Xenopus tropicalis: one gene and its partner. The protein of the gene in region 1 interacts with the protein of each later gene in a pairwise test. Links are inferred from orthologs where the notes say so. Each region holds a gene or a part of one and is shown on either strand. Other genes may lie near its edges.

Evidence for each region. The genes of interacting proteins can lie anywhere in the genome.
Region 2: the proteins of cib3 (region 1) and sertad1 interact in binary tests that used the Homo sapiens proteins (3 or more experiments, as listed by UniProt). The two-hybrid records come from large-scale screens. The link is inferred for Xenopus tropicalis from reciprocal best matches to the Homo sapiens genes CIB3 and SERTAD1.

Annotation. Positions count from the first base shown.
Region 1 is NC_030677.2:104,271,800-104,276,252, forward strand, and holds part of cib3 (calcium and integrin-binding family member 3), read left to right. Parts: intron 1-1,013; coding exon 1,014-1,125; intron 1,126-1,753; coding exon 1,754-1,901; intron 1,902-3,040; coding exon 3,041-3,236; coding exon of another isoform or gene 3,237-3,303; exon of another isoform or gene 3,304-3,375; intron 3,376-4,453. UniProt on the Homo sapiens protein: Acts a an auxiliary subunit of the sensory mechanoelectrical transduction (MET) channel in hair cells. Plays a role in regulating hair cell MET channel localization and function.
Region 2 is NC_030684.2:78,227,963-78,232,979, forward strand, and holds the start of sertad1 (SERTA domain-containing protein 1), read left to right. Parts: upstream 1-1,859; 5' UTR 1,860-1,881; intron 1,882-5,017. UniProt on the Homo sapiens protein: Acts at E2F-responsive promoters as coregulator to integrate signals provided by PHD- and/or bromodomain-containing transcription factors. Stimulates E2F1/TFDP1 transcriptional activity.

The sequences.
Region 1 (4,453 bases):
CATTACTGCCACATTACACCACCACGACATAACAGGCATTCCAATAGTTCCATATACGTGGTATGTTTTTAAAGCCACCTCTAGAATGTAAGCAAGCAAGTCTCTCCATCTGTAGTGTTTCTTTCATTACTCCTACCCACTGCTTAAGCATGGGGGAATCTGGGGATTTCCAGTTTGTAGCTATGAATTTCCTGCAATGGAAAAGATATGCTGTTATAAATAACCTTAGATATACAGTACATCTTTGCAAAATTCCCAAGAAAACCCCAAGATCATTAATTTAGTTGCCAATAAACTAAATAAATACTATCTGAACTTTCCAAAATAAAAATATATATATTTTATTTTACACACACTGACAGAAACCATAATAGACTCACCTTGTTTCATTGTAAAGTGATGGATTCTGGGACCTGGAATCCTTCTGCTTTCTTTAATGAGCGGGCCATAATTATTTGGAAAGCAGTGGGACTTTAGGTTCCAGAATTCATGACTTCACAGTGCAACAAGGTGAAGGACTGAGTGGGGTGGGTAACTGATCCCTTTGATCACAGACGATTATGATTTATTTTATGGAATCAAATATGTCTGCGTAAAATATATGGATTGATATGTATTTTTGGGAGTTCAGCAAGTGTTTATGCAAAAGGGTGGGGGGGGGGGTGCATATTTTAAGATACTTGTCTTAATAGAATAAAAAGGCTTTTATCTCCAGCCGTTTTTTACTTCATAAAATATAATGTTTGTCTCACCACTAAACGGATGAGGATGTAATAAATCTAATACTCTTGGTAAAAAAATAAACATGCATTTATAAGCATTCAAAATTACCTCTGTCTTATAGAGTGTAACCACATTTATGTTATGAAGTAATATATAAGTGATGTCAATATACTTACCAAAGTATTTTAATGCAATAAGTGTATCACTTTATACTGCAGTCAAGAGGAAAAGGTTATATAACTGAATTTCAATAACATCGACATGTGTACTCAATTTTTCTTCATATTAAGACTTTTTAACAGATACCGGGACTTGGCACCACAGCTTGTTCCAGATGACTACACAAATAAACCAGATGTGAAGATCCCTTACGAGCTCATCGGCAGTATGCCTGAGCTTAAGGTAAACCACGAGAGAAGCAACAACGGCAAAGGTTGCCAGATGTCACTCTAATCCGGTGCTGCATTAATAATGCAGAAGGTGCTAATTGGCATGACTTGGGAAGATCACTGAAGCCTAACAAAATACTTGGTGAAGTTAAAAGTTGCCTTTTGCATCTCAGTTACATTTTATTTGACCTAATCTGCACTCTGATTCACCTGTTACTTTTAGACTGAACCTTGAACACTAATAAAAAAAATTGCGGGGAAAAACATAGCTAGAAAAGGTGATACAGGTATAGGTTCTTATATGGAATGCTTGGGACCTGCGTTTTTTTAAACGATAAATAAACCCAATTGGACTGTTTGACTCTTATATGGAATTATGCAGCTTAGTTATTTTTAAAAACTAGAATTATTTGCTTAAAATGGCCTCTATAGAAGATGGCCTTGCCATAATTAAGAGCTTTCTAAATAATGGGTTTCCTATACCTGTATTTTCTCAAATGAATGTATCATAATATAACAATGTTTTCTAAAACAGAAAATATAGAATATAACAGAAACACTTTTTTTAGATTGTAAAAAATGTAACATCAATGAGGTTCCTTTTGATTTACCAAGGCTGACATCAGTCTCTTCTTCGGCAGGATAATCCTTTTCGGCAACGCATAGCTGAGGTTTTTTCAGAGGATGGAGATGGAAACATGACATTGGATGACTTCTTAGATATGTTTTCAGTACTAAGTGAAATGGCACCCAAAGACTTAAAAGCTTTCTATGCTTTTAAAATATATGGTAAGTTATGTTTTTATTGGCAGTCTTTATCATTCTGGTTGCATCTGTGGATGTTACTTTGGGGTTATGGTTTTGGCAGACAATAAGGAAAACAGATGACTGGTGCTTGATCTCCTTGAAGAAAGTGTTTATGTTGAGTAGCCCACTCACACTAGGGGGCACATTTACTAACCCACGAACGGGCCGAATGCGTCCGATTGCGTTTTTTTCGTAATGATCAGTAATTTTGCGAGTTTTTCGGCATCTTTTCGATTTTTGCGTAAAAACGCGAGTTTTTCGGCGTCTTTACGAAAGTTGTGCAAAGCCGCGATTTTTTCGTAGCGTTAAAACTTGCGCGAAACGTCGCGCCTTTTAAGTTTTAACGCTACGAAAAAGGCGCGACTTTGCGCGCAAGTGTTAACGCTACGAAAAAATCGCGACTTTGCGCAACTTTCGTAATGGCTACGAAAAACTCGCGTTTTTACGCAAAAATCGTAAAGACGCCGAAAAAATCGCAAAAAATATGAAAAAGTCGCAAAATGTTCGTTTCCAATCGGAATTTTTCCAATTCGGATTTGAAATCGTGTCTTAGTAAATCAGCCCCTAGATATATGCATACTTGTGCTCCCAGTTTGGTTCACTTTTGGTTCTGTTCTGTTGAGAAGGAATTTATGCTTTCAATTTATTATTCTTTCTGTTTTGCAAAAGTAGGGTTGGGGGGCTGGACTGTAGTCCTGAAACGCCCTCAAACTACAGCTCACCTGGCTGCGTCTCCCTGCTCCCCAATGCGTCCTCCCGCTCCCTTTTTGCCCACTCCCCACTGTGTCTTCCCGCTCCCTGCCCCCGCTATGTCCTCCGGCTCCCCTGCTGCGTCTGCAAACAGGTAGTAACCAGGGGTGAGGACACAGCGGGGGCTGGGTAAATTACCTTGGGGGACCGGATCCGACCCATGGGCCATATTTTGAGGATCCCTGCTCTAATATCTCAATTTGCAACAGTAATAAAATCACTGGTGCTACAGTTATGTAAACAATAGACCCCCAGAAAAGGTCTACAAAATGTTAAGGAATAACCCATCAGTTTTTTCATACATCTCTCTGCCTCATAAATATTCAGCTGCAATATGCCTTCCAAAAATGAGTATATTTATTTTTATTCAGATTTTAATAATGACGATTACATATGCAAGTCAGACCTAGAGAAGACACTTAACAAACTAACACGGAATGAGCTTACCCCTGAGGAAGTTTGCCTGGTGTGTGAGAAGGTGATCGATGAGGCTGATGTAGATAATGATGGAAAATTGTCACTGGAAGACTTCCAGCACATGATTGTTAGAGCTCCAGATTTCCTCAGGTACAGTACAGTCAATCTAACACATTTTGTTAAAGATCAAGGTGTCCCATGTATAGTTAAAGGGTGAGTTCACCTTTGAATTAACTTTTAGTGTGATATAGACATTGATATTCTGAGATAATTTGCAGTTTGTCTTTGTTTTTTTAGTGGTTTTTAGTTATTTAGCTTTTTGTTCAGCAGCTCTCCAGTTTGGTATTTCAGCAGCTATCTGGTTGCTAGGCTCTTATTTACCCTATGAGAGACGGGAATATGATAAGGAAAGGGCCTGCATATAAAGATAAGTAATAAAAAGTAGCACTAGTAGCCTCACAAACCAATAGTTTTTGGCTGTCGGGGTCAGTAAAAGTAAGGAAAAAAATTTAAAAACTATAAAAAATAAATAATGAAAAGATATACTACATACATAGTTGCTAGGAATAAGGCATTTTATAACATACTAAAATTTAACTTAAAGGTGAATCATCCCTTTAACTTATCTTTATTAATTTACGGATTTCCTTAAAGGAAAACTATATCCCCAAACAATGTAGCTCATGCTGTATGTAAAACCCTGCTTCATCTAAATAAACCATTTTCATAAAATATAGTTATTTAGTAGTATGTGCTATTGGGTAGTCCTTAATAGAAAATTGCCATTTTAAGAATTAAGGGCCGCCTCCTGGGATCACAGGATTCACAGTGTAGTCATTTTGGCATTTTACTGCCAATAGATTAGCCACATTAGTGCTACCTAGAACACTCTATTTATTCTGCAGAAAGCATTACCATACCTGAGTAAAGAGCCCTTGAAGCTCCCTCTGTTTGTGTGAGATTGCAGCTGCCATTTTAGCTTGGTCTCCGTAGAAGTCTGATAGTGAAGAACATGTTTACAATGCACAGAGAAGTCAGTGCAGCGTTTCTGTGAGTGCTAATTGCTGTATTTACAAAGACCTTTCTGATAAAGCTTACTTAGTTTTTACTTTCTTTCTCCTTTAAGACTCCAGACTTCACCAGGCACCTAAAACTGTGAAAAGAATTTCTTTATTAATATTAATTGTATTGCACTAGGATTAATGGGTCCTGATCATATCAGACCCAATTTTATATTGTAAGGAAAGGTGTCGGGTTGCCCGACTTAAAATAATAAAAATAAATTATATATATATTGCATTTATTCGTATTTGATTAAACCAGAGTCTATAGGAGATAGCCTTCCTATTACTGGCTAGTAAATGTGT
Region 2 (5,017 bases), on another chromosome or scaffold:
CACACAGGTGCACTCTATTTAGTCATTAGCACTCATCAGGCAATGTCTATGGGCAACTGACTGCACTCAGACCAAGGGGGGGCTGAATAATTACGCACACCCCACTTTGCAGTTATTTATTTGTAAAAAATTTTGGAATCATGTATGATTTTCCTTCCACTTCTCACGTGTGTATGTATGTGAGACTTACAATCTGTGCTGGGCCAAGGCAAACAGGTGCCTAAGGCAAACCCCACCACTTGTGTGTAAGATGGCAAGTGAGGGTGACTTCGTTGCCCCCATACCTGCTCCTTACTAATAAAGTGTTCCAAAGCCACAGTCATCCTAATGCCATAATTACAAGAGGACCAAAACTAGGGGAATACATGCAGAACCTATTTGCAATATGGGCACTCCTAAATTGCATCACCCACAAGCTCTAAATGCTGTACATATTGTATAAAGGGTTCCTCCTGATTATTTCTACGAAGAGTCTGATACATGCCGTTATGTCAGCCATAAGGCATTACAACGCAGTCCAACCCTTCCTAGTGTGTCTTAATCAAGGGTAGCAAAAGATAAAATGTGGCAGTACTGGACTGTCAATCCAAGATCCTTGAAATCCACAGTTTGTATCTCTAGCAAAGCAAAGTTGATCTCCCTTATGCCATTAAGAAATGTTGCAATCGCCCCATCTGGACTTGCTTAGTAAATGAGCCCTATATTATTTTTGGTTTTACTGTATAATTATAGTGTTATAACTTATTCCACAAAGTGATTACAACAAAATAACATTGCAGTAATTGTGCACTTGTAATACTCTGCATAATGTACTTTACCCCTAACTAAACCTTCAGGGAAATGGCATAGTCCCCCAGCTGTTGTGTAACTACATTTTCATGCATTCTCTGATAATTGTAAGTGCAGCTGTGATGTTTTACAAGGGAAAATGTACAACTTGTTAACAAATATAATGCTCTGTATGCAATATAATCTGAAGCCTAGTAAATTTATACAGTCTGGGAACTTTCTTTCTACAGAAGGTATATAAGCCTGGATAAACATTTCTACAGAAGGTATATATATATATATATATATATATATATATATTTCACACTATATATCACTATATATCTCCCTTTAAAACAGTATCTGCTTTCCTCATTTTTAGACACAACTGATGGCAGAGCATGAGGGGGCGTGGAGAAGGTGGGATATGTGGGATGGAATAGATTTTGTTTGTATGTGTGTGTCATACAAAGCTATGTGACAAATCCGCCTCTGCAGGCAAAAACCTGAATCATCTGTGTCTTGCTTACACTTAACTGTGTCTCTGAGTCACAAGCAATTCAACCAAAGTGTAGTGGATGCAGTTCCCAAAAAAATACAATTCAATGCTTTATTTCACTATTAAAGGTAATCAATAGATTATAGATAAATCAATAGATTCTTGTGAGAAAATAATATTCTCCTTTCAGTACAGATTGAACTATAGGGTAAATATATTTATTGCCAAGAGTAATACTAAATGAAAGATAAAACTAGGGTCTATACAGATGTACTAATTGAATCATATGATATTGTGGTTTTTCTCACTATTTCAGAATATAGAATATTTATTAGTATACATTGCCACACATTTGAATTGCTCAACTATGCTCTTGTACTTTCATACAGAAAGCGAGAGATTGCGAGCGATATCGAGGAGACAAATGTTTTACTAATTGTAGGTAAATCAGAATGGGGTTGCTGGGCACCTTGCTTTTAAATTAAACAATAAAGACCGTTTTTTTTTTAGCAAACTCCGCTGTCCGGTGTGTTGGAGTTCCTTCAACTACTTATGATTTTCCCCTTCGGCTACGGGTTCGGGGCCTTGAGCGCCCGGACCACTTCTGGACTTTGGTAAGTTATTTAAATTTCGCTTCACCTTTTTTGATTCTCTTTAACTGCTTGGGATCGTATACTTTGGAGATAGGCTCGGGGTCTATACACCTGAGCCTCCACATTTTACCGGATACGATTTGTGTTACCATCCCAATACAAATTTTATAATTTATTTATCGCTTTATTTTGGGGTTTATTTTGATTTGAGGTATGTTTTTTGGGGTTGCTGTGAACATATCTTTTGCCTGTTTTCACCTGGTTACGGGTCATCTGAAGTACACACTCTGTCGTGCATGCAAGATTCTGTGTGCAGGCCCCTGGTGTTCCTGGGGGAACAGGACCTTGTAATTGCATACTCATAGGAGAGGAAAAATAGACATGTAGCTAGTGTGGGGTAGTTCAACAGATGTAGGGATTCAACTGGACAGGGACTCAGGAAATTATAAATGTAATCCCTTGCAGCACCCATTATGCAGCCTGAAACACTGATCAATACCTGTAGTATGCAAGTAAACCCCAAGAGAACTCAACATTATGTGTGCCACAGTAGTATATTTTACAATAGGGGAACATTATTTACTATATAATGTGGGGTTAAGTGTCTTATCTACATGACAAAGGGCTCTGGTGCCATATTTTCCAGACTTCTCAACTCATAACTCCTTACAAAATATAACGCAAAATACTAATTGCAAACCACCCAGATCCCTGTACTTAGTAATTAGTAGGATTGGCCTCTTCACACCATATAACTTCTTTTCTGTGCTCTTCCAGGCCTGTTACATCACTGTAAACCCTATACCGATGCAGTTACTCTCCATGGGGTAAATTTGACTATATATCCCAATACTGTCCAATGTGGGAGGGAATCATTTTATTATTGTAGTGCTGTCTAACTTCTTCCTACCACATGTTTGCAGGCCAGACTATTGTATTGTATCACTTGTTGCTCTTTACAGTGCAGTATTTTAGGAGCACTATATAGTATAGTGTGATGGTGATAAGGTCTTTTATTGTACAGTCTGGACAATGCTGTATTGTACAGTGTGGTTGAGATCAGACACTATACTGCACAGCTTGTGGAAAGTTTTGACCCATTTTGTATAGTGTGTGGTGAAAAATATTTTTTTTACAGTGTGGGAAAGATCTCTATGCTGGCCATACAGTTTGTCAGTAACAGAAGTAGACATCAACAGGCCCCACATACAGTCATTGTCTCACTGCCTTTCCCCTGGTAGTTATTTCAGTGCACAATGTTTAGCTTCTGGCCAACACCTGCAGGAGCATTTTAGCCACCACTGCCACCCTGAGGCAGCTGGAGCGGTGCCAACCCCCCCTCACCCCATCCTGATTAACTTTATAGCTTTGTGCAGTAGAACAGACAAAATTCCAATTTAAAAATCTGAACTTCAGCTTGTAAGTAACCAGGAGCAGCCTTTTGCCACCCATTGTAACATGCAGGGTTCTGCCTCATGGCTGGAGCTCCTCTAAACACCTGTGATTCAGAGAAATGCTAGCTAGAGGACTATTTGCATGAACTCCTATATAGTTACATAGGGTTGAAAAAAGACTAGAGTCCATCAAGTTCAACCCATCCAAGTAAGCCCAGCACACCCAACCAACACCTACCAATCTATACACTCACATACATAAACTATATATACAACCACTAATACTAACTGTAGATATTAGTATCGCAATAGCCTTGGATATTCTGATTGTTCAAGAACTCATCCAGGCCCCTCTTAAAGGCATTAACGGAATCTGCCATTACCACATCTCTAGGAAGGGCATTCCACAACCTCACTGCCTTCACCGTGAAAAACCACCTACGCTGCTTCAAATGGAAGCTCCGTTCCTCTAATCTAAAGGAGTGACCTCTGGTGCGTTGATTGTTTTTATGGGAAATAAGAACATCCCCCATCTGCCTATAATCCCCTCTAATGTACTTGTACAGAGTAATCATGTCCCCTCACAAGCGCCACTTTTCCAGAGAAAACAATCCCAACCTCGACAGTCTAACCTCATAGTTTAAATCTTCCATCCCCTTAACCAGTTTAGTTGCACGTCTCTGCACTCTCTCCAGCTCATTAATATCCTTCTTAAGGACTGGAGCCCAAAACTGCACTGCATACTCCCTTACCAGGGACCTATAAAGGGGCAAAATTATGTTCTCATCCCTTGAGTCAATGCCCTTTTTTATACAAGACAGCACTTTATTTGCTTTAGTAGCCACAAAATGGCACTGCCTGGAATTAGACAATTTGTTATCTACAAAAACCCCTAGATCCTTCTCCATTAAGGAAACCCCCAACACACTACCATTCAGTAGATAGTTCGTGTTTATATTACTTCTACCAAAGTGCATAACTTTGCACTTATCAACATTGAACCTCATTTTCCAGTTTGCTGCCCAGTTTTACAATTTTTTCAAATCGCTCTGCAAAGCGGCAGCATCCTGCATGGAACTTATAGTTTTGCACAATTTTGTGTCATCAGCAAAAATAGAAACAGTACTGTCTATGCCCACCTCCAGGTCATTAATAAACAAGTTAAAAAGCAAAGGACCAAGGACTGACCCCTGCGGTACTCCACTAACCACACTTGTCTAATTAGAAAATGTTCCGTTTACCACCACTCTTTGTAATCTGTCCTTCAGCCAGTTCTCTATCCAATTACAAATATTATGTTCTAGGCCAATATTCCTCAATTTGATCATTAACCTTCTGTGAGGTACTGTATCAAACGCTTTAGCAAAGTCCAAGTAGATGACATTAACTGCCATTCCCGCATCGAGGTTCCTGCTCACCTCCTCATAAAAGGCGACTAAATTAGTCTGGCAAGATCTGTTACGCATAAAACCATGCTGGCACAAACTTATAGTATTGTGAACTGCAATGTATTCAAGTACCCTATCCCTTATTACCCCTTCCAAAAGTTTTCCTACTTCTGACGTCAAACTAACAGGCCTATAGTTTTCAGGCTGAGAAAGGGATCCCTTTTTAAATAATGGCACCACATTAGCAATCCGCCAGAAGAGGCTTGGCAATCACAGCGCTCAGCTCATTTAATACCCTGGGATGAATCCCATCCGGGCCAGTGGGATTTCACCCAGCCTAAATAAGCTGGGTGAAATATTCATCAGGCTGGCGAT